2 linked regions of the Tamandua tetradactyla genome follow. The protein of the gene in region 2 purifies or fractionates together with the protein of the main gene of each other region. This does not show direct contact. Links are inferred from orthologs where the notes say so. Each region holds a gene or a part of one and is shown on either strand. Other genes may lie near its edges.

Region 1 (16,110 bases), on a different chromosome or scaffold from region 2:
CAAACATGTATTTTTAAAAGAGTAAAAGCAACGAATAGCATTTCTAAAAACAACCACATCATTTCTGAAGGCTATCATTGGCAGTTTTGTTTTTGATAGCTATTACAGACTCACAAAGGTTTCACCAGCAGGAATCACATTAACTAATACTACTTAGTTTTCTATAAAAGTTGCCCTCTGAGAAGGATCATCTTTAAGGAACAGTCATCAGATTCTAATGAAGCTTCTGCTTAATAGGTTTTTGAATTACTATTATTATCTTATCACTAAGTAAACTGTTCAAAAGCAAAAGGCAAAAGAAGTCTTAGAGAACCTAGATTCAAAAGATGCTTCCTACACAGGGAAAACTATTTATAACATTGAACCATCATAAAACTTGATTGATCTGGTTCTTTCTAACTTTAATTTATTCAACAAACTGAACAGCCCTAAATTCCACTAAACCATGTTATGGGGCTGGACTTAAACTTCTGTGCCCTATGTTCTGTGATACCAGGGGTGCACTTTTTTGGGGGGGAGGGTTATCATATTACAAGCAGAAAAGAGGGAGACAATCAGATATCATGAAAATCTAACTTCTAAAAAAACTAAAACAGCTTGGTACTACAACTTAGTTTCCTCATTAAAAAACAGTTTACTCTTGTTATTTCCATATTTTATACTGTTTTATCTGTGTTCATTTAACTTTAGTGTGTCCGTATAATGGTGAAAAACAAGAATTCTGGGATCAGACAGGCTGGTTTTAAATTCTCACTCCATTGCACTAGCTGACTGACCAGTCAAGGCAGCAGCTTAATTCTCTGAATCTCATTGCTTACATTGCTAAACAGAGATAAGAGCTATGCATTCATGTCGAAGGCAGTTGCCTTTAATTTTCCAATAAGATAAAGCATGTAGTACTCTGCCGGGCAGATAGTAAGCACCTTGTACATTTTAGGCTTTATTATGATTACTATTACTATTACAGATATTAGTAATATTATTATTATTTATTCCTAGTCTTCAGGGTCAGTGTTTATAATTGTGCCTACAGTGCTTCAGTTCACCATTTAATTGGTCACTTGGATTTTTTCCTTATCATGTACAATAAATGTATATTTTCAAATAACCATGTGAATTTAAATGTTATATTAACATGTCAAATGCAAAATGCTGAAAGGGCAATTTTGAATATAAGTGCCTAAGAAGTAATGACTTCCTGAGACTGAATGGCCCATAGTGAAAAAAAGACTAAACACAAAACACTTATTTTCCTCTCTGGGCATATTGAATCTAAATAAAAACTATCTTCACACTGCTTCTGTTCAACTCTAACACACCTGTATTAACATCAATTATCTTGTCAGTGAATGTCCTTCTCCCTTTGCACAGATATCAGAGCAAATGTTCTGCCTCTCTTATATTTTCACTCTACAGGTTTAGGTTTTAGCAACACATTACTGAAGAGTTTCATTAATTTAAGCAAATTCTAATTCCACAATTGATACCAGATTGCTAGAAAACCTTCATCTCGCTTGAGATAAGAGGGGGGAAAACAGATGAGTTTTATCTTCCACAGCTTGTACAAGCTAGTTTACTTTATTCAGACAAGTTGCTAATTGAGTGGTTTGGAGACACTGAAATTACTTCCCAAACCAGGCAAGTAAAGGAGTTTAAAACTACTGAAAGGTGTGTAGTTAACACATACAAATGTGCTTTCACGGACTCTGTTATATGGACAAGCACCATTTTAGTGAAGTTTCAGAGTGATAAAGGTTACCTTCTAAATCAAACCTGAGTAAACAAAATCAGCCTTAGACCTATGAGTCTAAAAGGTGTACATTTATTTTATAGGTGAGGAATTCCAGACAGAAACATTTCTTTAGTCAAAATAAAAGTTAGCCCACCATTAGTGAAAAAAAATCATAAACTAAAATAAAAATACAACAGTACGCAGGTTAAATTTAGAAAGCAAATTATGAGGCATATTGTAGCTCATTAGTACCATATGATGTCAAAGGATACTGAAACACATATTTGGGTCCTGATCCACTTATTCTTTGGCCCCACTTTTTTTTCCTGCTCTAGCTGGGATTGCCACTGACATCCATACTTCTCAGTCACTTTAGCAGAGAAAAGTTAAAATCTTCCTATTCTACTAAAATCCAGCAATGACTTTACCACGCTGATATATTTTTCCCATAATGGTGCATAAATTATAACCATAGATAACGTGCTACAAAGAATTTTACAGTAATATCACAACTATCTCTTGTTATGTTCACTAAAATTTTAAATTACTTGATGAGATAACGTATAACTGAAGTTAATTTCAAAGAGTAAATGGTGATATTTGACAATTTTATTACTCTTAAGATACATGTATGCCTCACATTAAAAGAACAATCTATGAGGGGGCAGGGGAGGTGAGCAAACTAAATCTCTAGTATTCTCAAGTAGGATCCCTTGCAAATAATTTCGGGGGAAAATGCTGAGGACTCCATGATTTTTCCATGACTGAGAACAATTGCCCATGGCTCTTAGGGTTGCACAGTTGAGTTGAGCATAAACATAGGTGGCACAAACTTTGAGCCTGATACCCTTTCAAAACAGCTCAAGAGCATCCCACAAACTGCTCTTGCTAGAAGTGCCTTAAAGCACTATTTTCTAGTAAAAACCTTGTTCCACTTAAGACACAGTATAACATGACTTAAAACATAGATTCCTAAAATAACTTGTATTATTAGGAACTCAAGCTTAATATTTCATATATATGCATACAAATCAATCATTTGACATACAAAGAATATATTGCTACTTAACACAGAATCACACTGCTTTGTTGTCACTTGCTTGTGTCCCGTGATGGTGCTTTTAACACTTCATTTAGATATCAAACTAGTGACAGGCATTAAATCCACAGACTACTTTGCATCAAACTTGTGATCTGAAACATTTAATACAATTGTTTACCTTCTACACTCTTCCAAATAATAAAGTAAATAAATGCAATAAAATAAACAGATATTCTTTTCTGGCCCTAAGCCATGGACAGCTGTGAACACTGCAGAGGTAGTTTTCTCTCTGAATGGAGTCAGAAAGATATGCACAGTCGTGCTGTTCAAAATATTATTTTATGTGTGGAACAACATTGTCATAAGATGTTTGGAAGCCAAGTAAAATCACAAGAAGGGGATTTGTGGCAGCCTATTTGGGCTGAAAGGAAATGAGGCTGAAGCTCTCCCATGAAGCAAGCAACGTGACACTTTCCAGAGATAGAAATAGCCTTTTGGTTGGGGGTGAGGGGTGGGGGGCAGAGAAAGAAAAAGCAAATTAGTGGAGATCAAAGCTATCTCCCTATACACTGTAATCTTCTCCCTTCCTCTTCTTCAACAGTAAGAAGGAAAATGATGAAGGTGGAAGAAGGGGAAAAGAAAGCCATGTTAATCCAGAATGGTAAAGAAAGGAGGTGGCCTTTTGATCTCCACAGGATGGCCACTTTATTGGCTATGTATAAGTAGTTTCCATCCAGCTGATCAACCAGGTATTAAAGCTCAACCTTTCCATGATCAGTAACTATGAAGTGAGGCATCTGTGAACAGCAGTCAAGCAGGAGGCTCCTGCACTACTAAATAATCACCAGCCCAGACACATCCGAGAGAGTAGTGACAACCACGGGGGAAGATTGTCTCTCCACTGGCTTCTCCCTGAGTACCAATCATTTTCCGTAGGACTCAGCACAAAATCTTCCTCAAGTGTGCATGAAGTGTGCATGAAGGAGAATGGCATTCATTTTCTACAATACAACTTGAATCCCCATATTCTGTTGTACCAGCAGACAATGAATGTTTCAACTTCTGTTCGGTCTCCTAAGCATACCAGAAAATGCAGCCGTGACAAAGGCTGAAAGTGAGCTGGCTGTATGTAAAGAATTCATTGACGTGTCTGGTCATCTAAACATTTTCTTAATGGCACAAAAATAATACTACTTTTCCCAAACTCTCTATTCAAACCACAGTCTTGTTTAGGCAGAAATTTTTGAAAATAAAATTTTAAAATAAAAAAAATTGAATCATAATCTTTCTAATTTAAATTCATCATTTCTCTCTTGCAACTAAGAAAAGACTGGTTAAGAGCTTTAGAGTCAGTTCAGTTCAAATCCTTGCTCATCCAGTTCTTAACATCTCTATAATGTAGTTTCCACAATTACAAATAAGGATAAAGTCATATTTTATCAATAACAGTACATATCTCATAAAGTTCTTATGAATATTAAATAAGATAAATGATAGTTATGTCTTCATAATATTATAACAAATATAATCATAATTATAAAGTGAGTGAAAAGTTTCTTACTGTCCCCCAAAACGTGAACTTGACCTCATATTTTAAAAATATTTCCTTCTTACACAGTATTGATCCTCTCTAAGCATAAATTTCATGATTTGGAAGATAATTACTTAGTTTTTCACTTCTTTTTATAAAAGGAGGAAGTAAATATTATAAAATCTTATTAAATGTAGCTTAAAAAATCTATCATATCCATTTATCAAAGATTTAGATGTTTTAAGATTGCCATTGTTCTAAAAATGTAAAATGGCTTCTTCTTTATACAGCTGTTCTAGATATTCAATATACAAACTTTTCATAAATCTTCTTCTTTCAGAAATCCATTTCTGGGATTTGCTTCTAGTGCTCTGTGTAGGCAGAGAATGAACTTAGATTTGGTTTCTCTGTCTGTTTCCACTCTACCTCCTCCCTATATTTTAAAACAGGCTTCATTCTGGATCTCATTTTCTACTTCACTTCTCCTGAATTCTGCTTCTGGTTTTACTTTTCAGTTTTTTTTTTATTTCTTATTCCTAAATTTCTTATTGTATCCTATAGATTGCCTCAGGCCTAATTTTAAATTGAAAGACAACATTTAATTTCCCTATATTCTCCTATAAGAAACCAAGCTAAAAGTGCAGTTTGCATTTTTGTTTTGAGAATTACACATTTTTATAAGGGCCAGAAAATAACATACATATTACTTAGCAGCTCTTATCAACACAGAATATGCCAAATGAAGACTCAACCACTTAATGATTTTCACTGGGAAATGGTTACCCTACATTTCTTTCTAGTTTTACTCCTGCTGCTTAGCATTTAAATCACATATATCTGCTGAATGTGAAGATTAATAATAATAAACTGTCATTGTAGGTTGGAAATTCAGCATCTCGTACCACTTTAACTCACAAGAATATTTCATTTGTGATAGCAAAGACTTAGGAAAGAGTTTGGTTAAACTTTCTGTTATGTGACATTTTATATATAAATGTGTTCGAGAGCCCATTATCAAGAAAAAAAATTTTAAAGATATAGCACTATTCAGACATGTATATTTATAGAACAAAAATGTTCTAAAGAATATAGCCTGGTCTTATTGGAATTACCAAATCATTTTGACAAAAAAGAAAAAAAAAGGTTGAGTGACAACTGAGACCCAGAAAAGTGGCTTATATAGTGAAACTTATCTAAAAAACAAATGCCTCTTCCCAAAAGAAAAGTGACCCCCTACATATATAAAAACAGAAAAAGAAGAAAAAGGAGAGAAGAGCCAGCAGATTTTCATTTTATTTGAAATTCAGATCTCATCCTAAATTTAAACTGAAATTCAATAACTTTTTCACATACAAGCAGGTTTCAACAAATGGATTTGAGGGGAGAGGGAGTCTATGAAGGAAGAAGGCTTAGAATTAGTTCCTAAGAGATCACATAGGTTTACTTCAGTTGCCATCCCCACCCCCCATCCCCGCAAAAATACCCTCTAACTATCCACAGAAAGAAACACCAATATACAAACTGATGAAAAAGTTCACGCTTTAGAAATACCTACATCTTCCCCAAATCATAGCTTCATGGAATAAAAATAGTCATATATTATAGCATTAGGTTAATAAATAAATGGCTACAGAAAGTAAACACTCTTAAATGAGTATCTGGCATTCAGTATGACATCAACACATCCAAATGGAGTTTGTAATCTGTTTGAAGAAAAATACAGGACTTTATTAAATAGGCAGCCAGTTTCTTTTTTTTTTTTAAACGGAAAATCAAAAGGCCTGACAACCAACCAATCGATGCTTTTACAGGTTAAATCTTGTTGAAGATCCGTTACTCCCTCAGTACACCTTGATTTATTTAAGCTCGCTACATTTCTCTTAAATACACTCCATTAACAAGTGATAGACTGTGACTTTAGGCTTGAGGCAAGACATGAAACACAATCTTTCAAAAACTTCATTCATTCACTGGCCAGGTGTGTTGAGCACATCCAACTCTAGTTACTTATCTGAGTTCTATGTAGTTTTATTCAAGTGAATTGTGTTGCTTTAAAGAGTAAACTGCCAAAAAATCATTCTAGAAACCCAATAATTAGGCCTTCCAAGTCCAGATTCACAGCATGAGTGAAAGTCACTGGATGAATGATAAAAAGTTTTAGGTGAAATATGAGGGAGCACCTCACCAAGACACCTCTGGTCTGGAGCTTGGCAGGCGTAGATAAGCACGTTTGCAGGAAAAAATTTAGGCTTATAAAACTATCAATGGCTTGAATAGAAAATTAAATTACAAAACAAACTCAGAAATACCTTAGCTCTTCAATTATAAAGATATCTCAGATGTACCCAAATTACAAACTTTAGATAGTACCTCCTACTCAAATTATTAAATCTGATAGGACAGTATAACAACTAGATATTTCTCCAGGTGAAGATAGAATGTGTACACTGACATGACCAGCTTTCAGTGATATCGTATTAGAGTAATCCTATCTTTAATCTATAGCCATGATAAAATGTCCCAACATATACAAACTCAGTTCAAACAGTGACTAATGACCATTAATCCCCCTATCTTCAGTAATCTGCCCCTCCTGTCATTTATCACATTGACACTTCACTTTACACACGTGAATAAACTTTAACTGAGAAGGTGAATCAACAATAATCTCAAAGGTATCTGAAGCTGTAAATTAAACTAGGGGCAGACACAGCAAAGAGAAGCAAATATAGAGATCAGATCTTAATGTTTTTGGTTTGCATCCATGGCTGTGTGTGTGTGTGTGTGTGTGTGTGTGTGTGTGTGTGTGTGTGTGTGTGTGTGTGTGTGTGTGTGAGTGTGGTGGGAGGGGTACTATTCAATCATTGAGATATTCAAACTTAAAAAAAAACAGTTACCTTATAGAAAGGGGAAGTTGAAACTGGGAAAAGGTAGTTCCAGGGAGTTGATCTACTCATTCATCCACTGTGACATATTTGAGATACCAGAGGCTATTTTCTTCAAAGGAATAACAAATTAATGAATTTCTTATTTAGTCTAGTTGTCTACTTGCAGTTCCTTGTAACTTTCAGCCAGGAAACACATCTCACAGGCTGAAATTCTTTTAAGGTTTTGTTTGCTATTATTTAGCTGATGTGGGTGTGTTTTGTCTTGCTTTCTTTTTGTTGTTCATATTACATGAACTACTTTGCTTAAGTAAAATCCTTGCTGAAAGCTTAAGTGATGGCCAGAAACCACACACACACACACACACACAGACAAACCTCAAACCAACCTTTCAAAACTGTTTCATAATTATGCAAATCGAATGATTTGAACCTGCAGCCCTGATGGAACGTGAATGGTTAGTATGCATCTGTAAAAATTATCTGATGTGCAATGTGTGTGTGTGTGGAAGTGTGTGTGTGCGCGCGTGTGTTTAAAGCCTGAAATCGGATCCCTTAAACTTTTGATTGAAAACAGAATTTACCAAAAGGGAAGAAAGAAAAGTTGAGTTGTGGCTTAGTTCACCCACAGTAAAAGTTTCTTAGGGAGTGTAAGAAAACTATTCGTAATTGTAGATACAGAGTGAACTTTTATGTCAGAAGGATCCCAGTGCAGGCTCTTTCTAACACTTCATTTGGAGAGTTTTAGAACATTTAATTAATCCTAAAACTCCTAAATTTAGTCCCCTGTTTTCCCTTGCCAGTGAGAATCCCCAAGCGAGAAACTGTCCCCTTTCCGATACTTGCAAACTCCTGTTTTTCTTCTAAAACCAGTGAGGCAGTGCTAGTTTATACCTTATGTAAAGAGTTATTTCCTTACGTTTTTTCAGAATCAAATTTAATTACAGATATTGGTTACATTAAACTCCTAAATACCCCTAGTGCTAGGAAAAGGAGGGGCAAATTGGAAGACCAGGTTAAGGAATCCTGGAGGGTCTCCGGGCCACATTTCCTTCCCCAAAGGAACCAGTTGGTGGATGAAACTCATTTTGGGTCATCCAAGGGGCTCAAGCTCACTGCCAACTGCTGCCTCCTCCTACCCTTGCGCTCAGAAGTGCAGTTACCCCGTGTTCAGGAGTGCCCTGAACTTGGCGAGAAGCCGAGGTCCGCGAGGAGGCTCCGGGGGTGGATTTTTGGGTGGTGAGGAGAAAGGGGCGACCCGAAGTGCGAACTAAGAACAGTCGAGCCTAAAACTCTGCAGAGAACGAGACCTTGGGCCTTAGAAGGAAGAGGTCGTTCAAATAATTCGGGAGTTGATTTTTGAAAAGTGGGGAGGGGACGTGCAAAGCGGAACAGGGGTGAAAAAAGAAGTCGCGGGGTTACCTGAGCAGAGACATATTAATCCAAAGAGGTAAAAGCGAGCAGGCTCCGCGATCATTGTCCTCGGGTGGCTCCTGCATACAGTCTCATGCCAAGAGGAGGAAGTAGAAATGGGGTCCCCAAATTTATGAAGCCACACACCCCACACAAAGGCTTAATATAAGCAACGTGGGTCAATCCGCCAGGAGTTTTCAAAGCAATTACTTGTTACCCTTCCGGGCGCTTGTCACTGTCTCGGAGCCCTCTCGGACGAAGAATTCCAATGCTCGCCTCCTCCGGTCCCGGGCTTTTCGAGGAGGCTCGGCCACTTCCAGGGACCATCCAAAGCCAGCAACAAAAGAGCCAAAGCAGAAGAGCAGTTGTGCGGTTTCCTGCCTCTACTGTCTTCCAAGCCTCCTGGCGCGCGCCCCCACACTGTGCGCCCGAGCGCCGCGGGCGCGGCGGCTGCAAAGTTGGGGTGTGGGAACGGATTAAGGGAGGGCCAAAAAGTGCTTCTCTGTCTTACAGGCAAGCCAAGTCAGCAACGGGCCACCCGCGGCGGCGACAACAGCAGCCAAGGCAGCGCTAGCAGCCCCGGAGTACCGGCGCAGGGTGCCGGGGGTGTGCCTGGGTGACTCCGAGGGGGCAAGCGAGAGGGCGGTGCGGAGACAGCGGCTCTCTGGGCGGGCCCTTGTTCCCATCACTTAGGGGATGCAGCGGGCACTGGGGACAGCAGCAGGTCCGCGGGTACACGCACACCTCCTGGGCGCCCCCAGCCGCAGACCCGTGCGGCGCCCACCATGGTCCCCGGCCCCGTGCCCGCTGGGGCGCGCGAACGCAATACCCCAAACTCCAAGGGAGGGACCCAGGAGCCCAAACTTCCTGAGGGGTGACGACCCGCACCCCTGGTTCTCAGCAGCAGCTGTGAAGCGGCGGCTCCCGGCCTCCACGACTTCCCCGGCGAAGGGCTTGGAGGATGCTGCTGCCAGTGGGAACGACGGCCGCCGCGGCTCCGCGGGGATCTGCAAGGTCTGAAGTTTCAGCTCTCACGCTGCCTCCTCTCCGGTTCAATTGCTTGTGGGTTTTCCCCACGGTCCCGGCGGCTCCCAGTTTCCTCCCTCTCCTCCCTGGCCCGAGAATACTTAAAGGGGCCGCACAGTCCTTTCCCGGCCTCACTCTATACCCTTCTCAGGCGCAAGTCAGGCAAGTTCTTCTCGTTAATATTTCCAACCTCAAGCCAGAGGTGCCCAACTGCGCCCTCAGGTGAGAATCAAATTGTTCAGGCTCGGAAATGCAAGCAAATGGGAACTTGCCGTGTTTCTCTCGCCACCCTTATCACCCCTGCACCTTTCTCCAAATGGAACCTCCCAGCTAAAGACTTCAAAAAAAAAAAAAAAAAAATCCTCCCCTGGTCCAGTTTAACCTCTTCTTTACCGCTTCCAAGGGTTGGAATAAACTCTCAAATAACTCTACATTCACTCCGCTCTATCTCCGTTAAAAAAAAAAAAAAATCAAATTTGAACTATCAAACCTTCAGGACAGGAAATAGAAAGAGGGCTATCTAGAACATATCAGTAGATGGGCACTCGATTACAATAATCCTCTTATTTAAAATTGTAATTGTTGAGGGTGATGTAGAAAGGCTATGCAATTCCAGGGGTGGGCCGTGGAGTCTTTTCCTAATCTATGTTTCACACGAGATTTACTACTTTGACTTTATAGATTCAGCATATTAGAATTTTACCAATGGGAAGCCTTTAGGAAGAGGAACAAATGCGGGAAAACAATCTTGGCTACCACCCGAGCAAAAGTTTGCGGTTATAAGAGCAGTCATTCAACCTTTCAAAACCAACCAGCACGTGTGTCCACGCCCAGAACACAGACTTTTAAGTCCCACCTAGCAGTCATTAGCTCTATGAACATGCCACCTTGATTAAACTCTTTTTAAGTCCAGGTTTTCTTCTTCTGAAAATAGGGTGTCCCGAAATACTTCATTGTATTAAGAAATCTTACCCAAATCAAAAGAACCTGACACACCTGATGGACGTTCTTACATTCATTCCTCCATCCATCCATTCATTCCGTTTTCTTTCTTTCTGTTAAATAATAAACTGAATGTTAAACACCTGGCACATGGTGAGTGCCCAAGAAACAGCAGATGATGGTACTTAAAGCTATTTTACTTTTTAGTAAATTATTACTTACTAAGTTAGGTACAACAACTTCAAAATCATAATTTGTTATCTAACAGGATATACCAGAAGATGCTTACTGTTGTCATCTCTGGAGAGAATAATTGCGGGACAAGTGGAACTGGGTGGATTTGCTCTTTTTTATATGTTGTGATTTTATTATTTTTTCTTTCTTTCTTTTTTTTTTAAGTGAATACATGCATTATATAATGAAATAGAAAAATTTAAAAGCGGATCATACATTCATTTTGTTTGCTCCTTTTACAAACAAAGCCCTCAGAGTCACATTCTGTGGAAAGGAATTCCTTCAAAACACATATCTTTGAATGTGATAGTTTAATCCTGAGAAAGCTGACTGGAAATTCAGTAAACAAGCTAGAGATAAGAACTCAAAGACTCCAATAAAAATCTTTCTAGCAATAAATGCAAGACTATACAGTGAATGCTGGAAAATATATATTGATTTGGTCTCTGTGAAAACATATTAAGTAAAAAACATACAATTGGGAATTGAACCCAGGTGTTCAGCATGGCAGGCGAGAATTCTGCCACTGAGCCAACCATCGCACTGCCCAAGATGTGCTTTTAAGATATGTCTGCTTACTTAGTAAATAAAAAATGAATAAGTTAAAGCATGGTACTTCATTGAGAGAAAGGATTCTTCAAATTGTCATATGATCTGAGTGCATTTTTAAATATAGATCTCGAACTTTCACTTAGTAAAACTTTAAAATATAAGGTAGAATATGTGTAAGGGATCCCAATTGTATTGTGTCCCCAAAGTAGATCTTCTGTCTCCAGAAGTTTGCTAAGATATCTCAAGATCTCTTTTACCATGCATCTCATTGTCAATGGATAGAAACTATCTTAATTTCCCCTTTATTTCTCAATTTCAGTAAGCAACATCTCTTGCCTCCAACTAGTCTGCTCCACCCCCTAGAGATTAAGTTATGTAGGATAGTTAGGCAAAGAACCCTCAAGGAACTAACTCTTGGCCAACCCAAGAGTTGGCCCTTTCTTCTTCCCTAGTCCCATCCAAAGTGTACTCTTCTGACAATGATCACAACTGGTCACATCTGAAGACAAGAATTTGTATTCAGAAGGTTTTAAGGATATATTATGACAAAGAAGGCCTAGTGTACCTGATAAGTTTCCCTACTACTGCCTTTCACTCATCACCCTCGGCAATGCAAACAAATGCTTAGTGAACATCAACTATATGCAAGAAAGAGTAAAGAGTAAAGCAAACTAAGGTGAATGTATTTTAATTTGACCTCAAGAACCCATGTCTGATCACTATGATCTGAATGAGTGATGGATTCAGAAGTCCTATCTAGAACTCTGATTTCTGTTGGAATCTATGACATTCAAATCTCCTAAAATGTCTCATTGAGAATTTCGAGGAAACCTGAAATAACACTCTTCAGCAGTCCTGTGAATAAGGGCTTCTAGAGTAATAAAGATCTCTTGAGGTCGCTCTGCTCTGATTTTGTCTCTCATAGGAGTAGTAGCTGCAGGAACTCAGGAAATACCACAACCCCCAGGGGCTCTCCAGGAATTCCCGATCCCAATTACCTAGATCAGGAAGACCAGAGTGGAATTCCTAAGGAAAATGCAAACAGGGGTATTTCTTTCTCTTTACCTGTTAGCAAGAACTCTTAGAACCAAATTGTGCCTGGGATTCAAGCCAGAAGTTCCAGCAGGTCTGCTGAGGTGAGCATGACACATTATAGTACAACCAAAGCTGTGTCGTCTACTCCCCCTCCGGAGGGCAGGATAGATGGCTTAGCATTTTTACATGAAATTGCTGAATAATTTGCCCAGCCCTTGGCCTCTAAATCAATTAGTTAAGTTGAATAATTGAATATTTGAGTAATTTTCTAACTTTCGGAAGGTTCCATTTTAAAAACTACCCTGAAGTAACCCTAATAAAGAGAAAATAAATTCACACTTATTGGAACATCTACTGTGTGCCCGGCTTGATTTTAGATGTCATACGAGATAGCAACAAATCCCTTGCAATAAATTGACACAATGGAATAGAGATTTTATGTGCAATAGGAGTGCAAGGAAGGGGGGAATAAGTTAGGGTTAGAGTACTGAGAAAAGAAAAAGATGCTAGGTAAGATTTTAAAGTGCGTGTAATCTTATTCCTATTCAGGAAATAGGATAAAGTCTATCTAGACCCTTTCTTTCAAATGTGAACAAGGTACATTTTAAGAGCACTGCTTTTGTTTGTTTGCCTGCATTTTAGGACACAGAATTAGGTGACCCGGGATCAGGAACCACAGGAGGAAGAGATTTATTGGTTACCACTCTTCACTTACTTCTAAGACTTAAGGTACAGTTACCAGGAAATGATGAAACAGTCCCATTCCCCTCACCCAACAGTGAACTCCACTTTCAGGTTTTCCAAGACTCATTCAAGTGTCAACTATGATATACCCAATACTTACTGTACTTGCCTTGCTGTTTAGCATTTTAGCATCTTGGGGACGTCATAGATGTTTTAATCTATACTGCTAAGGTCCTTTGACTGTGGAAACTTAAGTTTCAGTAACGATGGATCTCACAAGAATTCATCTCTTTAATGTTAACAGATGGTTAGTTTTGAAGATAAAGGAGAGGACAAAGGGAAGTAGCATTTATTGAAAAATGCTATTTTGGGCCCTTAACAAAATTTATCTGATCTAATTTTCACCATGATCATGCATTTTCACCATGAGTATTATTATCTCATTTATAGATGAGGTTCAGAAAGTAAATGATCAACTCAAAGTTCAGAAGCCCAGAAACCATAGAGCTTAAACTTGAACCCATCTTATTTTGAACCAAAGCACAATGGGGGAAATAATAAAAAAATTAAGAAGTTCCTTGGTGGAGTAGAATTGGGAGACTCTGCATTCAACAAATGTAAGGTTTTTCCCAAAGCAGTTAGAGTTTCCAAGAGAGAATAGTTTGGAGACACTGTCTCTTTAGTACACAGTGCTCAGTCTATAGACTACGATACTTCTGTAATAATACCCCTTATTTCCCATACCTCTTCACACCTTCAATCTCCTGACTAAACTGCATAAGCTAGTTTACTAAAGGGAAAACGTAGTGTTAAAATGAGCAATATAGTATTCCTTATCAAGAAAGTCCATTAACTGAAGTAACAATACTTCTAGGCTTTCTTTTTTTTTTAATTAATTAAAAAAAAAATTAACTAACACAACATTTAGAAATCATTCCATTCTACATAGGCAATCAGTAATTCTTAATATCATCACATAGATGTATGATCATCATTTCTTAGTACATTTGCATCGATTTAGAAAAAGAAATAGCAAGACAACAGAAAAAGAAATAAAATGATAATATAGAGAAAAAAATAAAAATACAAAAAATATATATTAAAAAAACAGAACAAACAAACAAACAAAAAAAGATCACTGTAGATCAGCTACAGTGAACCCGTTAAATCATGCATCTGAGTCAGAGCCTTTCTCTTTGTTCAAAACCCTCCCATAGTTTCCACTTCTCACTCAGAGGGAAAGCCCATGTCCTTCCAGAAGTCTATAAGGCCTTACATGAGCTGGTCCCTTTTACTTCCCTGACATCATCTTCTCCTACATTTGCTTGCCTTTTCTTGCTATATTCAACCACAATAGTCTCCATGCTATTCCCAGACCATAGCAGGCAAGCATCTACCTCAGGGCTTTTGCACGTGCTCTTCCCCATAAATCTGCAAACCTATGCTCTCTCTTCCCTAGGGTTTTAACAAAATAAAACTTTCTTAGAGAGGCCATTTCTGACCACACACTTTAAAATTACATCCTTACACAATACTTTCTATACCCCTTCCATGTTTTATATTTTTCCCCCTCCAGGGCAGTTATTCCCATCTAAGATAGGACATATTTAATTATGTGTTTTCATTGATTTCCCCCCTCTTCTTAGAATGTCACATGAGGCAGGAGATTCATGACTTCTGTTCACTCATATTCCTAGTATCCAAAATAGTGCCTGGCACTTAATAGGTACACAAGTGTTTATTGGATGAGTGATTATTATCTCATTGTCTATTAATGTCTTTTGGAGAAACACTTCTTTAAGGAAACTTTTTCGGTAGTTCTAGATTATATTTTCTCCAATGCATAGTCTAACCATTTATCCATTTCAACTAGTAGAGAAGTAAAGTGAATTTCATTCATGGAGTAGATGTTTCAGTGGATTTCAAAGACTTAAAAAACAAGGTTCTGACTACATAAGCATATACATATTTGGATAAGTTTTTTTGGGAGCAAAGAGATTAGAACTATTGACTGAGATTGAAATATATAATAAAAGAAACTTTCAAGATCAACTTTTCTTAAATAAGAAAATTGAAGTCTAAAGAAATAACTTTATTCAGAATATTCCTTTAGTTAGTGGGTTAACTCAAAACTAGCATCCAGGCCTTTATATTACTAGAGAATATTTCTTTCAACCCAAGCAGGGTAATCAGAGATTCTCCACCTTTAGAATACATTCATCATTAGATATGGTATAGTATTACACATATTATATTATTATTTAAATAATAAATTATACGTATCTTCACTTTCTCATCAGGAGTCTAGGAACCATGACTTATTATTTTTTCTTTTTGTATCTCTAGTGCCTAATATAATAAAAATAATAGTAGCAGCCAAAATTTATATAGCACTATGTGCCAGAGATATTAATCTAAGTATTTTATATAACTCATTTAGTCCTCAGAACAACATTATTAGGTTGGTCAGTATTAATGTTCCATTTTGTACCCAAAGAAATGGAACAATCTGGAAATTTAGCAATCTGGATCCAGAGCTTAGGCTCTTCTACCTACATTACATTGTGCAAATAAAAGTTGGTGATTAAAGGAGTGGTACCATACACATCAGGTTAAAGCTGGAGAAAGCTATCATTGTGTCAGGTTTGTTTTGCTTGTTTAAATATCTGGTTTCTTTCGGGGATTAAGTACAAAAAGTGATTCTGAAGTATATGCATTTGTAGTTCTGTTTCTTATATGGAATTTGGGTATTTAAATCTTTTTTATTTTTTGTGCAAAATATTCAAAGTAGTTTGATGCCTGTTTTAACTTGAATTAGAAGACATGAAAAAATATATTGTACAAGTTTATTAAGTATATTGGAATATATATAAAGAAGTATATATAGGATTTTGTTGTCTTTTGGTTTTTACTTCCAGTTATAGCTGGAACCAAGCATAGACTATTCTAATTATGAATTAAAATTCTCTTAAATTGGGATCATAGTTAACAGCTGCACAGCTGAATAACACACTCTATAGGCTTACAATTTGAA
Region 2 (16,110 bases):
AAATAAATTTAGTTTGAAATGCTAGTGGTAAATGAAAGCGAGGGGTAAGGGGTATGGTATGTATAATCTTTTTTTCTCTGTTATCATTTTATTTCTTGTTCTGTTGTCTTTTTATTTCTTTTTCTAAATTGATGCAAATGTTCTAAGAAATGATGAATATGCAACTATGTGATGATATTAAGAATTACTGATTGTACATGTAGATTGGAATGATTTCTAATTGTTTTGTTAATTCTTTTTTTAATTAATAAAAAAAAATATGGTCTAATTCAAAAAAAAAAAGAATTACTGATTGTATATGTAGAATGGAATGATATCTTAATGTTTTGTTTGTTAATTTTTTTAATTAATAAAAAAAGTTTAAAAAAGATGTAATCTGAGACAATGACAATACAAAGGGGGAGGGATGGGGATATACAGAAGTAGAAAATCTGCATGCTTGTCAAACTAGGTCATTATTAGATTAAAATGTTCATGGTAATTACAAAGGTAACCATTAAGAAAATAACTAAAATATATAAAGTAAATGAAAGAAGGTAATCAAAGTGGCATGTTATAAAAAACCAACTAGGGAGTGCAAGAGTAGTTCAGCTGTAGAATTCTTGCCTGCCCAGGTTCGACTCCCAGCCCATGCACTTCCCAAAACAAATAAGTAAGCAAACAACAAAAAAACAAACAAAACAAAACAAAAATTCAACAAAAGGCACTGTAAAACAGGATACTCAGATGGAAAAAGAATGAAATGTGACCTCCACCATATAACATATAAAAAAAAGGCAACTAAGTTTTTTTAAAGAAATCAGAGTAACTAAGGAACAAAAATATATAAAATAAACAGAAAAGAAATGGTTGAATGACCAAAATAAATTCTTCTTTCTTAGTTATTATTTCAAATATCAGTGGACTAAACTCTCCTATTGAAAGTCGGCAAATGACAGACTGGATGAAAAAACATGATCCATTTATGTGTGGTTTACAGGAAATGCACTGTTATGGAGTTCTCTGTGTGAGGTTTGTATTATTTTTACAACTGTCTTTTAAATTTGAAATTACTTCAAAATAAAAAGTTAAAAAATATCTATGGAAAATACACAAGGAAGTTATAAATAGGAAAACAGTAAAACACAAAAGAATATATCCACTTTAGTTCTGTTAACTCAAATAAAGGTACTAGAGTATTAGGGTACTTAATATGTCCTATACAAAACTTTTAAAATGCCATCAACATAATTAGATGATTGTGGTAGCTTGGAGCTATGTACCCCAGAAAAACATGTTCTTAAACTTAATTCATTTTTGTGGGTATGAACCATTGTAAAGAGGACCTTTTGGTGAGGTTACTTCAGTTAAGGTGTGAGCTAACTGAATCAGGATGGGCCTTACTCCTATTACTGAAAGCCTTATAGGGAAGGTCACAAAGAACAGCCTGGAGAGGCCATCATATGCACTGTATCATGACAGATAAGCCAAAGACCAAGGATTGCTGGCAGCTAGCACTAGAACATCAGTCTTCTGGGAGCAAGCATTTCCTGATGATTCCTTGACTTTGGACTTCTCCTAGCCTCAAAACCATGAGCCACTAAATCCCTACTGTTTAAGCCATGTATGGTATTTGACTTAACAGCCAGGAAACTAAAACGATTAACAGAGAAAACAGCTTAATTAAGATCTGTAAAAAATACCAATTAACATTTCCTATAAAGAAAAAAACCCGTATTTCTACGTGCTGCTTTACAACTGTTGTGTACCTCACAAAAGCCATGTTCTTTAATTCTGACTCAAAATTGCTGGTTGGGATCTTTTTGATTAAGTTGTTTCCATGCAAACGTGACCTACTCAACTGTGAGTGAGACCTTCTGATTAGGTGGTTTCCATGGAGATGTATTTCCACCCATTCAAGATGGTCTTAATTCAACTACTGGAGTCCTTTAGGAGGAATCATTTTGGAAAAAGCTTCAACACCTACACAGCCAGAGATCTTTGGATATGAAGAAAGAAAATGCCCCCTGGAAGCCTTTTGAAATGACAGGTCTGGAGAGAAAGCTAGCAGATGTCAACATGTGCCTTCCCAACTGACAAAGGTGTCCTGGATACATTGGCCTTTCTTGAACCAGTATGTCATTATCTGGATGCCTTAGTTTGGACATTTTTATAGCCTTAGAACTGTAAACTTGCAACTTAATAAATTCCCTTTTTAAAAGCCATTCCATTTCTGGTGTATTGCATTCCAGCAGCTTTAGCAAACAAACATACTATAAAAATGATAAATGGTTAAGCATGGTCAATTTCTAGTCACATCTAGTAGAAAAAATTATGGCAGACACCATGACAGCAGAGAGAAAGAGAGAGAGGAAGAGAAGAGAGAACATGATAAAGTTCTAATAATGGTTCAAACAGGCTGATGGTAATTTTCACCCTAAAAGTCTCATTTCTGAACAATACGGAGGGGTAATTAAATGGCAGGGCATCAGTATTATGAGGTAGCCATTACAAATACTTACGTAGACCATGTAAAAACTTGGAAAAAAAAATGGTCACCATATTCAAATGAGAATCATTCTAAGAAAAATTGTCAATCTTCTTTTTTTTTCACCAAATTATAATACTGATGACTATAAAAACAATCAAAGTCTAGTCATCTAAATAATGCCCCCACTGGCTAGGGGTTGGTTTGCCACATGATCCTGAAACCCCATTGCTCAGAATATACCTGGAAGAACAGAGTGTGGAGACACAAATGGACATTTGCACACTTGTGTTTATGGTGGCAGTGTTCCTGATCCACAATGAATGGGGGTGGTTTAAGAACACAACGATTAAGGAATGGAAAGGGGAACTATGGTGTATACATACAATGGACTACTGAGCGGCCACAGGGAAGAATGAAGTTGTAAGGCATGCAACTAGGTGAATGAATCTTAACAGCTGTATGTTGAATGAAATGTCAGGAAAAAAAGACAAATATTCTCATGCCTCAATCATATGGACTAACTATAATATAAAAACTACTCAGTGAACTAAAGTCGCAAGCACGGGTTATCAGGTTGGGGCTTATTGTAAAGTGTCCTAGACTATAAGCTCTTACAGCAGTCACATACATAAATTCTGAGGTACTGAGCTGTTTGTATATAACATGGTCTTTCCCAGAAACTTTGGGTACTTATGTGACACCTGAGACTCAGAAATAGAGCCCTGAAGCTGTGAAAGTGAACAATACCTCATACAGGAACTGTTTAAAAAGCTGAAGAAGGGATCAGACTTCAACTAGATATATGAATGAAGCTGATAAGGATAGGACTAAGGTATACTAGAAGTTTGGGTAAAGGATGATATCCATATTTTAAAACCTCAACTTCTAGATGAGACTAAAAAGGTAAGATGTTTATTTGGTGCAAAATTTATATTTTGTTAGTGCATTTCCTAATTTAACTTTTATGATCAGTTTAGTTTGACACCGTAAGTACACAGAATCTTGAATAGGGAGATTTTATTGGCTTGTACAGATTGGTAGGATACCCCAACAAATCCCAGAGTGATTTGGGCAGTGAAGAAAGTATTTGTGGTGTTCCCTTGGGAGAATGGGGAGAAGGGGGGAGGTGTTCAACTTTCCCATCTGGAGAATTTCTGATATTCTCGCAAGCAGTGGGGCCAACCAAATCAATAGACCAAGCCCCCAATGTTGGGGTTCGCCCTTATGAAACTTATTCCTGCAAAGGATGGGCTAAGTCTACTTAAAATTATGTCACCCCCAGAGAACCTCTTTTGTTGCTCAGATGTGGCCTTTCTCTCTCTAAGCCAACTCTGCATGTGAACTCACTGCCTTCCCTCTTATGTGGGACACAACGCCCAGGGATATAAATTTCCCTGGCAATGTGAATCAGAAAGCCTAGGATAAGCCAGGACTCACCATCAAGACACTGAGAAAACCTTCTTGACCAAAACAGGGAAGAGAGAAATGAGACAAAATCAAGTTTCAGTGGCTGAGAGATTTCAGAGTTGAGAGGTTATCCTGGAGGTTATTCTTATGCATTATATAGATATCCCTTTTTACTTTATGGTGTATTGGAAAGGCTACAGATAAGTACCTGAAACTGTTGAGCTGTGTTCCAGTAGCCTAGATTCTTGAAGAGGAATGTATAAAGATATGTTTACAATGCGACTATGTGATTGTGAGAACCTTGTGTTTGATGCTCCTTATACTGAGGGTATGGACAGATGAGTAAAAAACATGGATAAAAATAAATAAATGAATAATAGGGGGGAAAGGAGTAAAATAAACTGGGTAGATGGAAATACATGTAGTCAATGAGAGGGAGGGGTAAGGTGTATGGTATGCGTGAGTTTTTGGTTTTTTAATTTCTTTTTTCTGGAGTGACGCAAATGTTCTAAAAAGTGATCACTGTGATGAATACACAATTATGTGATGCTATTGTGAGACACCGATTGTGCACCATGTATAGAAAAAAGGCATGTGACAATTTTTCTAATTAAAAAAAATAAAAATAATAATGTCTCCACTAAAACTATTAGAAATGTCTCCTCCTAGATTTTAGAAATAGCTAAGAGCAATAGAAAAATGGCCTCTTTACTTCATGTCACATATAGTGCTTTATTTTTACCATATTACTTATTTCAGGACTATGCTAAACCCTGAGAATACAGAGACTAATTTAACAAAGGCACACTTGAATGTTCCAATCAAGTATGGATTAGGTACCATAAAAATTGGAGGGAGTGGAAGCACTGTTCAAGTCTCCACCCCTATCCTTTTCTTTTTGAATGATTAGTCTTTCATGTTCTACTCTATTACCAATTCTTTGATTTTCAAGAAATACCTAATTTGAAAATCAGTGACCCTCTGAAAACCCTTTCCCTTGACAAGTTACCTAACTTCCAAACCTCAATGCCATATTAGATTTCCTCCTGACTTTCCATATTCCACTAGTTACCAAATTCTACTGCTCTGCCTTCATCACTTCGCCTCATTTCATATCTCTTCTACATATCTACCTAAATTGAGGCTTTTATTTAGGTCATCTCAGTATTCACTTGCATCTTGTTTCTAGGCAGTGACAGCTTCACACCTCAACCACTTCTCTGCTTCTTTTAAATTTTCCAGCATCTCAGGACTTTGCTCAGCTCAGGATAACTAGCAGTTGTCCAATCAGGCATTTTCAGGGGTAATCTCAATCAGTGAAGGTCAAGAGTAGGTGGTTACTCTCTTTCCCACCCCCAAATTCCCCTTCACATGATACGATAATTCTGAGACAGTTCTACAAAAATCTCCACAGGATTAAGCCCCCCAGGTGGCTCTTAACCTTCCCCTAATCACTTTACCCACATCTTCACTTGTGTTTCTGCAATTCCACCTGCATGCATATCCTTATCCTTGAGGTATACACTTGAGAGGACTTCAAAGAAACCACAAGGGCCACAAAACTGATGTTGCTATCCTAAGGATAGTCAAATGGTCTTCTCTTCTTGATAACAATTACAGCCCATTTTGCTTTCAGATGATTCACATTCCTCTCATTATCAAACACCTTCAATGAGATCTTTCATAATTTGGCCCTTCTTTATCTTCTCACTAATTTACATAAACCATGCATTATTATCAGCCAAATTGTTCTAATGATGCTTTAACTTCCCAGGAACTCCATAATCTCTTCATATTAGAAATGTCTTATCATACCAATCTGTTGAAAACTTTTCAGAAGCTCACTCCTCTCAAATGCCATCTCCACTAAGCCCCAACCACAAGCAGCATCTTCCTCACCTAAATTCCTTAAGAAATCCATAACCCTCAGAAGGCACTTACTGTAGTTTTGTAAAATATTACATATGTTGACCTCAAGCTTGACTATAAAGCATCTCAACAATAGAAACCATGTTTCATTCTTTTTATTTCCAAAGGGTCTTGTCCAGGTAAACTCACATTGTTCTATTTATATTTAGCCTTCTAAAGTTACTTCTAGAAAGGACATTTATTTTGAAACACATGTTGTTTCTTAAATACTCATTCTCATTAATATATACATACTACATTGTACATAACTCATGATGCTCTTTAAAGACAGTTAAAAGAAACAAAATGTACTCATCTCAGACTCTCTGCAGCTCTTCTACTTACCAAGCTGCTCCTGAAATCTCTTGCACTTTAAAATAATATTTAAAAATGTTTTAAACACTAAAGAAATAGAGCTGCTAATTCTTTTTTAAAAATGACTACATTTAACATACGTTTGTTTTTTTAACCAATAATCTTTCACCATTTTATGTATTTCATTTTCTTGTGAGGAGCCCAGGGTCTGTTATAGTTCACAATATCTTAATCTGAATCTCATTTTATTTCAAAGACAGCTTCAACAAGATTTTAGGCTTTAGAGAAATTCTGATCCTTACACAATCGCAAAATGCTGTCACAAGGAAAGACATTACTTTAACATAATTAACTCAGAGGACTGGCAAGAGGATCAAATATGACTGCATATGTGAAAGGTCACTGGAAATTCTACTAGCAATACATAACTATGAGTTATTTCCTTAACTCTGAATTTCAGGTATTTGAAAGCATCTATTTAGCACAATCTAAAGCCTTTAAACTGCTCTGTTATATAAAAAGGACTTGCTTGTTCATAAATTATAAACAATTCAGAATGGACAGAAAAAAGTGAAAGTTATCAATAAACCAGACCAAAAACAAGAAGCAGCTATCCTTAATAGACTATATACCTCTTACACACAATAGGAGCTCAAATACTTTATTTCTGGGGTATTTTTTCATACTGTTCTTTTATTTTCAATCCTGGCAAAGTAAATGAAATAACTAAAGCTCCCAGCACACTGTAACTACTATTATTTTTTCTTAAAATTAGCAGTCTTTAAAGAAAGTCTTTACTAAAAGTATTTGCAAGATTGGGGGAATGGTGAGAAAGGGGGAAAATTCAACTTTCCTAAGTTGAATTCTTGATATTCTCACAAGCAGTGGGGACAACCAAAGCAATAGGCTAAGCCCCCAATTTGAGGGGTTGTTCATATGAAACTTAACCCCACAAAGGATAGGTCAAGCCTACTTCAAATTAGGCCTAGGAGTCACCCCCAAGAGAACCTCTTTTGTTGCTCAGATGTGGCCTCTTTCTCTCCAGCTAACACAAGTAAACTCACTTCCCTCCCCCTGTCTACATGGGACATGACTCCTAGGGGGGTAAACCTTCCTGGCAACGTGGGACAGAAATCCTAGAATGAGCTGAGACAGCATCAAGGGATTGAGAAAACCTTCTCCACCAAAAGGAGGAAGAGCAAAACAAGACAAAATAAAGTGTCCATGGCTGAGAGATTCCAGAATCGAGAGATTATCCTGGAGGTTATTCTTATGCATTAAATAAATATCACCTTGTTAGTCAAGATGTAATGGAGAGGCTGGAAGGAACTGTCTGAAAATGTAGAGCTGTGTTCCAGTAGCCATGTTTCTTGAAGATGCTTGTATAATGACACAGCTTTCACAATGTGACTGTGTGATTGTGAAAACCTTTTGTCTGATGGTCATTTATCTACTTTATCAACAGATGAGTAAAACATATGGAATAAAAATAAATAATAGGGGGAACAAATGTTAAAATAAATTTAGATTGAAATGCTAGTGATCAGTGAACAGGAGGGGTAAGGGGTATGGTATGTATGAAATTTTTTCTGTTGTCTTTCTATTTCTTTTTTCTGAATTGATGCAAACGTTCTAACAGATGACCATGATGATAAATAAGCAACTACGTGATGCTATTGTGAATTACTGATTATATATGTAGAACAGAATGATCATAAGAATGTGTTTGCTTGTTATTTTTTAATTAAAAAATTAAAAAAGAAAAAAGAAAATTAAAAAAGAAAGTCTTTACTAATCCCCTTATTTATAGTAAGAATATGAACTGACAATATTTATAAATTCGAAAAAAATAACCTCTTATGATAATCCGATTTAGTGAAAACTTTCCAGATTACACAGTTGCCCTGTCTCAACCAGAATCAGAATTGGAACAGCCTCATTACTTTCCAAAACAAAAATTTTAAGATGAACTAATGTGATTAAACAAACTCATAGATTTATTTAGCAAGAATTCTCGGAATTCTTGTGATAAAATTCACCCTCAGTTTAGAGTCTATGTTCCTGCCATAATTTCACCATCTGGCTCAATTTTCCAGGCCTAATACTGATCATAGGAGAATGTGGACGCCCAAAACAGTTAAGTTTAAAACACCTAGAATAATCTCATCCAAAGCTCAGTTTACACCCAGTAGATATTCAAATGAATAGCGTTTTGGAATTGGAAAACATTTAACAGTAACGGTCTGGGAAACCACACACCATGGAAATTTGACCCAAACAAAAGGTGCGATAAGGGTAATCTTTGCAACAGTCAGGATCAAACACTGGTAAAAGAAAATTAATTTCCAGGGACGATGACACCTAGGCTTTCCCGTTCATAACCATGAATAACGGGGCCGCTGGGACCACATCGGGACGGAGACCCCGATTGCGCCGCAAAGCGAAACCTGAACCAGAGTTGGCGCGTCCAACGGCTTTCAGTAGTCTAAGCCCACCAAGAGGGGCCAGCGACCCTGGGGGGCCGGGACGAGACTCGGCAAAGAGTAGAGCCCTTCTTCGGCACTCGCCTCACCCTTCCCGCTTCCCAGGAGAGCGCCCCTAGGAACCCTTCCCCAAATCATCGACTGACACGGGTGCTCCGCCGACCACGGCTTATCCCAGCAACACAGGACTAAGAAGCCGAGGCCTCCGTCTGGCTTGCGCGACCACCATCACCCCCGGACCAAGAAAAAGAAGCCGGATAACCCGCGCGCGGGAGAGAGAGCAGAGACCGGCCCCCTGAGGCGAGCGAGACGCCCTTCGGCCCCGCGCCCCTCCCAACAGCGCCGCGCTCACCTCCACGGCCTTCCCCTCAGGCCCTGCCAGCGCGTCCAACGGTGACCTGAGGCCGCCCCTCCGCAAGCACTTTTCTTCCCCTGGCCTCGAAGTGGAGCGGTGTCGAGCCCCGAGGGCCGAAAAACCGCTTCGCGGCGCCACCCGCGGGATCCCCTCCGCCCGAACCAGCCACTTCCCGCAACAGCCGCGACTCCTTCCGGTGCCCGGCGGTCGCCACAGGCGTCTGGGGCGTCGCGAGAGGGCGGGGAGGGGCGTGGCCAGGTGGAGAGCCCGCCCTGTGGGCGGAGCCCGGACATGGAGGCCCGGCCCAGGTACGGACACTGAAATCAGCCCGCGCAGCTGGAACTTCAGAAGCAGTTAGGAGAATAGATACTGTTTCAAGCGCAGAGCAGTTTAAGGCTCTGGGCATTCTTTTTATTTTACACGTTTTCTCCCCCTCTTATACATTCACACTACAACCGTTATAAAGCCTTGTTTCGATGAATTACAGAACCTGCATGAAGGCTGGTCGCCGAAGGGCCTCAGATTTCCGACCTTAAATAAATAAATACTAGATTTATCTAAATTTAGCACTGTTTTCCTCCCTCTCCTTTTTCTTCTCCCAACCTTTTAGGACCTAGATTCTCTAAAAGCTGTTGTGTCTCCCTCTTGAACTTCTGCAAAGATATTTATCTCTATCAGTTTCCCTAAGCCAAAATCAAGATCATATCAAGTATTTATTGAAACCCTAGTATCTGCTTAATGCCTAGAGCATCACAAGAGACCGGTCTTCTAATTTTGTAACTGTAAAAATGTATTCAAGTGATTTTTGAATAGTGAGCACTAAAAACAGTTAAATTAGTAAACATTACTGTTAAACATTGCCAGCTTCAATCTGTCTTTCTAACTTTTTGGTCTCCAAAATGGGAGCATTAACTCAAGTGTTGCTCAAGATGCTCAATCTCCATCAAGACAAGGTAGAAAATATTGTGAAGTTTCAATTTAAATTTATTTTTATTGTAAAAGGGAAGAAATTAACCCTTACCAACATTCTATATAGGGATTGACAATAAGACCTCAGATCGTTACAAATGGGTTCACTTAGGGAGAATGAAAGTTTCACAATTCAGAGAATTCCCCAAGGTGCTATCACTCCTCCTTTCATTTTCAGCATTTTTCAAAATATTGCAGTATATGTAAGTCAATACTGTGGTTAATTTTATTTCAAAAAATCAAACATTGAATGTTTTAAATATTTATACTCCTCCATAAAGAGACAGGCAAATCATTTTTTTTCTGCTGTTTCGTGGCCAAGTACTTAAGAGCTGTTTAACTTAAAGGAGAGCTTTATATGTTTCTTAGAAAAACGTTTTCTAAATTTGCTAATTTCTCCTGTGATGACAGGTGGCTGTCAGCAATCTGCAACCTAACAAAAATTTTTAAAATGCACTTGTTTAAGCTATGGCTTCAAAGAAAAAGTGATGTTTTTAGAAGCAAGAAAGTTAACTATTTTTTTAAAGGAAACTTTGCAATGGATAAAGCGTTTTGAAAAAGGTTTGGGAATGTTTCCATCACTAAATAATTTTGCTCCCCCAAATTAGGAGTTACAAAAACTCATATCTGTATCAAAAGATATCATTAAGAAAAGAAAAACCATGCCACCCAATAGAAGATATTTGGAATATATATAACTGAGAAAGAGCTCATGTACAAATAACTTCTCTATATTTCCACAATCAGTAAGGAAAAAAATAGATAAATAGACAAAACTCACCTGTCCAGAAATTCCTGCTCTGAAAATATATCAGGGGTGTCCTGTTCTTACAGTGTTCTGGCAGATTAAGTTCGATCCAAAAATCCCCACCGCCTGCTTGGTAAATCTTCTTTGGGTTTACCTGTCCTGGGGGCATTCTCAGTTACTATCAGCACAAGGAAGGCAAACGATGGCTGCTCAAGGCAGGTGCGGCTGGTACCTGGACAAGTGCCTCTCACCGAACATCAGCTCTAGTCCTCACAAGGCACACTCATGCTAAAACAATCCACTACCACTACCACTTTTAACTTCCCATGGACTCCCACCTTCCCTTCCCACCCTTATTTCTCTTCTAACAATGACTCTTGACCAGCTATAAGAAGGGGGAAATAAATCAATTAACGCCTCTGCCCAGGAGAGTGGATGCCTAGCTGAGTCCCACATTGATTCTCGGGTGCTGCCATTCATGTAGAAGATGATATGAATTGTATACCTTCGAGTTGTGCAGGGGGGAAGAAAAGAAATGAAGGGCGGGAAGACAGGAAAGTGGAGAAAAGTAGGAGGGGGAGAAAGAGGGAGGACAAGAAGGAAGAAAAATTTAATGGGAACAGCAAAACAAAACTTCTCGTGTTTGAACTGAGTAATGGCAAGTAAATACAGCAATGCACAAAACATGTATTTTGATCTCAAGTACCTGAAACTTATTAAATCTTTGCGAATGTGATTCCCTCCTGTCAGATACACATTTACCAGATACATCCAACCCCTATCCCTCATTCACTTGGCTAACTCCTCAAAGAGCCATTCATAGTTTAATATAGCATACTTCACCCCATTATTTCCCATTTCATAATTCTGTTTGTTTCCTTCAGAGAATTTATACATATTTTAATTATATTGAGATTTTTTATACACTTGATTTTTACCTGTCTCCTTCACTGAACTGTAAGCTCTACAAGAGCCATACCATATCTGCCTTTTTCACAATATTCCAGAGCCCAGCAATGAAGAACTCAAATATCTGTAGGTTCTCAACTTGGGGTGATTTTGGCAATGTCTCTTTGGGTTGGGGTGAGCCAACCAGTGGAAGGAGTTAATCACATTTCTTCGTGTTACTGTGACAGAAACAAAGTCCAAAGTGTCATTAGTTCAAATTTTGAGAAACCCTGATTTAAACTGAGGCTTTATATGTTTTTGGTTATAGGTGGCAGAAGCTCAATCAAACTGTTGCTCTTAATTCAATGAACAAACTGGATTTGGTAGGGGGCAAACAGAATCCAATTTTCTTCTTCCTCATTATTGTCCTTGATAATCTCTGAGTATCCTTCCCTACACCTAGGACAAAATCTTAGGCAAGGCCCTTAGCTTATCCAGGCTTTCTCAAGTAATTAAAAGGTCCTCCAGTCATTTTCTTGTAATAAGCAAATGGTTGTTTGTCTTCCCTTCTTCCACCAGTTATTAAAAAAGCCTTTTCAGCATGATGTAAAAAATCCCAGACTCATTGAGTTTAAAAATTCTTTGCCATGATCTCAACTTGATCTACTTCTGCTATGTAGGGCAACTTTCATTTTGGGCCCCTTCAGATTTGGAGAAGGGGAGAGGGAAGAAAATTAGGAACAGAAAGGATCTTTCTGGACTGGACAAGTCTTAGCCTGGTTTTGGCATCCTCTGGGTATAACTGAGCTCCAAAGCTTACCTTTTTCTTTTGGTGTGCCTCTGTAGGTGCATCACTGGGAAACCCACATTCCCTTAGCTCAGCAATGTATCTTCTAGCTGGCCACTTATAACATTCACCTCAGCCTCACTGGTTTCCAGCGAACCGTCTCTGAGTCAGCTTCGTCTCAACCAATTCAACTGTCTTTCTCAAGATGACCCAGATCTGTTCTCTTACCAGGGCTTCTCACCTGGCCCACAATAAGGACACATGCACCTCTCTCAGAAGTGTAGGTTATTCCTAATCAGTTCTGTGTACATCTTCTGCTTGGAGGAAGCCTCAGACTCCTGACTTAGGGTTTTTCAAATGTGAGTCAGTTACCAGGCCTTGTCTCTCTAAGATTCCAAGGGAATCATATTTCTCAAATGGTTCTCTTGAATTTGGCTTGAGATAATGGAGAAGTACCCACTCCATGGGTAGTCTACTACCTTTGATTTGGATGTGGGGGTACTTGGCATTGACTTTCAGGGCCTCTGCCAAGAGTTTCAGTTATCATCTGTTAGCTCTTAGAGTAACTCCAGCTCAGAGTTTCTAAAAAAAATGGTACCATTGGCATTTTAGATTGGATAATCCTTTGTTATGGGGGCTTTCCTGTGCACTGTAGAATGTTTACCCATATCTCTGTCCTCTACCCTTAGAGGCTTGTAGCTCCCTTCCACCACCCTTCTCCTTACTGCATCTCCCATGTGACAAGCAAAAATGCCTCTAGACATTGCCAAATGCTTCCTGTCGGGAGTGGGGGTGGAATGCTAAAACATCCCCAGTTTCATACCACTGCTTCAGTTTAGGCCAGTGCTTTTCAAACTTCTTTCAAATCATGGCACAGACAGAAAATGATAATACACCAGGATCAACAGACAAGAATGCCAGCAATGAGAGGTTTCCAGCATGGATCACTATCTTGGCCCGTAACCCACTTGAAGCACATATCAGTAAGGGTGCTCTGTCTTAGGTGAAAAAAAGAAAAGGTATTTGTTGGCTCATAGAATCCAGGGAAAGATCACTAGAAACAAAGAATCAACCATTTCTAGGACTCTCTCATGATCTCTTCATCTTTCACCTCTTGGGTTGTCATTAAAATGATGAATTTTACCCAAATCCTGCAATCCTAGAAAACAGCAAAGTTTAAGAAATTCCCTTTCTTTTGTGTAACTGACCAGGATGGCCTTAACTTCTCCTTAGTTTGACTAAATCTCAGGCTTCTTCTTAACTCTTGATCCCTGACCTCCCTCTCCTAGTCCCTTACAGAATCCAGATAGAACATTGTTTTAGTTTGCTGAAGCTGCCAGAATGCAATGTATCAGAAATGGAATGGCTTTTAAAAAGGGGTTTTATTAAGGTACAAGTTTATGTTCTAAGGCCATAAAAATGTCCAAACTACGGCATCTAGAGAAAGATATCTTGACCCCAAAGGAAAGGCTGATGTCTGTCACATGGGAAGGCATGTGATTGGCATCTGTTGGTCCTTGTTCCTAGTTCCGTTGCTTCCAGCTCCTGATTCTAGTTGTTTCCTCTCTAAGCTTCTGTGGGCTTCACTTAGCTTCTCCAGGGCAAAATTCTGGGTTCTGGCTTGCTTAAGTATCTCCTGGAAAGGCATATGACAATGTCAGTCAGCTGGGCTCTGCATCTCCAAAGATCTATGTCTAGGTTTCTGGTCTCTCTGTTGGCACTCCAAGCATCTCTAAATGTCTACGTCTCTGTTGGCTCTGAAGCAGCTGTGCTTTTCCAAATTGTCTCCCCTTTTAAAGGACTCCAGTTAACTAAGAATCATCTTGAATGAGTGGAGTCACATCTCCCTCTAATCAAAAGGTTATACCCACAATTGGATGTGCCACATCTCCATGGAAGTAATCTAATCCAAAGATTCCATCCTTAACAATAGGTCTGGCCTCACAGTATTGGATCAGAATTGAAAGAACATGGCTTTTCTGGGGTACATAACAATTTCAAACTGGCACAAACATGTTCAACCTGGCTTATAGGAGATAACTCCATGCAATCAACACACTTCATTGCTTGATCCCTCCTTCCAGTATTCTTCCATTAGCTCTCGTGCATCAGTGAAGATGTGCCCTTTCTCTCTCCACTATTGTGATAACTTTCTTCTCTCTCTCTCTCTCCTTCTCTCTCCCCACAATAGTCTTCTAGTCTCTCTTTCCTATTGCATATAGCTTTGAGTAAAGTCATCCTTGCCTGTTTAATATTGTTGGGTATAATTTTTTCTTTGATACTATCTTAGAATTTTCTCCAAAAGCAGGATCCCTAGTTTTAAAAAAATTTCAAAGAAAGGATACACTATCTCCATATGAGTCAGATGTCTGCCCAGGAACATTCAGCTACAGCAGCAGAATATCTAGACAGCTCCAGTGACAGATAAATGGGTGAATGGAAGGGAAGTTTCCAAGGAAAAAAGGAGGGGGCAAGAGAGATCCAGTATCATAGATAGTCAATGCTAGCTTAAGGCTGAATAAGAAGATTTTTGATGGACCAGGGGAAGAAAGATAATTTAGGTGGAGGTAACAACATAGGCAAAGGCACAGAAACAAGAGAGAGTATGGTGCCCTTGTGAACCTAAAAGTGTTCAATATTGCCTGAGTAGAGATTGAAAGTGGGGGGTAGAGTGACAGAGAGGTAAAATCATGAGTGACTTTGTCCATGTCGTAAGTAAAGTTTACCCTCTAGTGAAAACATGAAGAAAATGATGAGAAAGGAAGTATGAAAAGAAGCAACATGATGAGATTTACAACTAGATTCCTTTTATGGCAGTGACAGGGAGATAGTAGAGGCAGACATTGAAGAATCCAGATAAGGGCCTGAACTAAAGGAGATGGCAGTGGAGATGTCTATGCAAGCTACTTAGGAGATAAAATCAGTAGACTTGTCGATTGACTACTCAAGGGATGGAACCTAGGAAGGCTCCTTTCTACAGATCCTATTCATTTTTTTTAACTTTTTATTGTAGTAACATATATACAACTCAAAATTTAGCACTTTACCCAACTTTAAGTGTACAATTCAGTATTATTAATTCTATTTCCAATATTGTGCTACCATAAACAGAATCTATTACTTCAACTTTTTCATCACCTCAAACAGAAACTCCGCACCTATTAAGCAATAACTCTCTCTCCTACTTCCCTCCTCTACCTCTGCCCTTGGTAGCCTATAATCTACTATCTGTCTCTATGAAGTTTGCATCTTCTAGGTATTTCATTCAAGAGGTCAAACAGTATTTGTGTTTTTGTATTTGGCTTATTTCATTCAACATGGTGTCTTTAAGTTTCATCCAAATTTTAGCATGCATCAGAACTTCATTTCTCTTTTATGACTGAATAATATTTCATTGGGCATATATACGACATTTTGTTATTTCATTCAGCTGTTGATGGACACTTGGGTTGCTTCTACCTTTTGGCTATTGGGAATAATGACACTATAAATATTGGTGTACAAATATCTGTTTGAGTCCCTACTTTCTTTCAGTTCTTTCAGGAATATACCAAGAAGTGGGGTTGCTAGGTCATATAGTAATTCTATTTTCAACTTTCTGAGAAACCACTAGACTGATTTCCACAGAGGCTACACCCTTTTACAATGCCACCAGCAATGTATAAGGGTTTCTATTTCTCCATATGCTTGCCAACACTTATCTTTTCATTTTTATCTGTATATTTTACTAGTCGCCTAATCTGTCTTTCTGACTCAGTCACAATCTCTTAAAGTCTAATT

The links.
Region 1: the proteins of USP33 (region 2) and ROBO1 purify together in Homo sapiens (affinity purification with western blotting; 5 studies listed by BioGRID and IntAct, with this or other methods). This does not show direct contact. The link is inferred for Tamandua tetradactyla from reciprocal best matches to the Homo sapiens genes USP33 and ROBO1.

What each region holds. Positions count from the first base shown.
Region 1 is NC_135336.1:68,133,899-68,150,008, reverse strand, and holds the start of ROBO1 (roundabout homolog 1), read right to left. Parts: upstream 9,181-16,110; 5' UTR 8,668-9,180; coding exon 8,613-8,667; intron 1-8,612. UniProt on the Homo sapiens protein: Receptor for SLIT1 and SLIT2 that mediates cellular responses to molecular guidance cues in cellular migration, including axonal navigation at the ventral midline of the neural tube and projection of axons to different regions during neuronal development.
Region 2 is NC_135337.1:47,720,169-47,736,278, reverse strand, and holds the start of USP33 (ubiquitin carboxyl-terminal hydrolase 33), read right to left. Parts: upstream 9,168-16,110; 5' UTR 8,936-9,167; intron 1-8,935. UniProt on the Homo sapiens protein: Deubiquitinating enzyme involved in various processes such as centrosome duplication, cellular migration and beta-2 adrenergic receptor/ADRB2 recycling.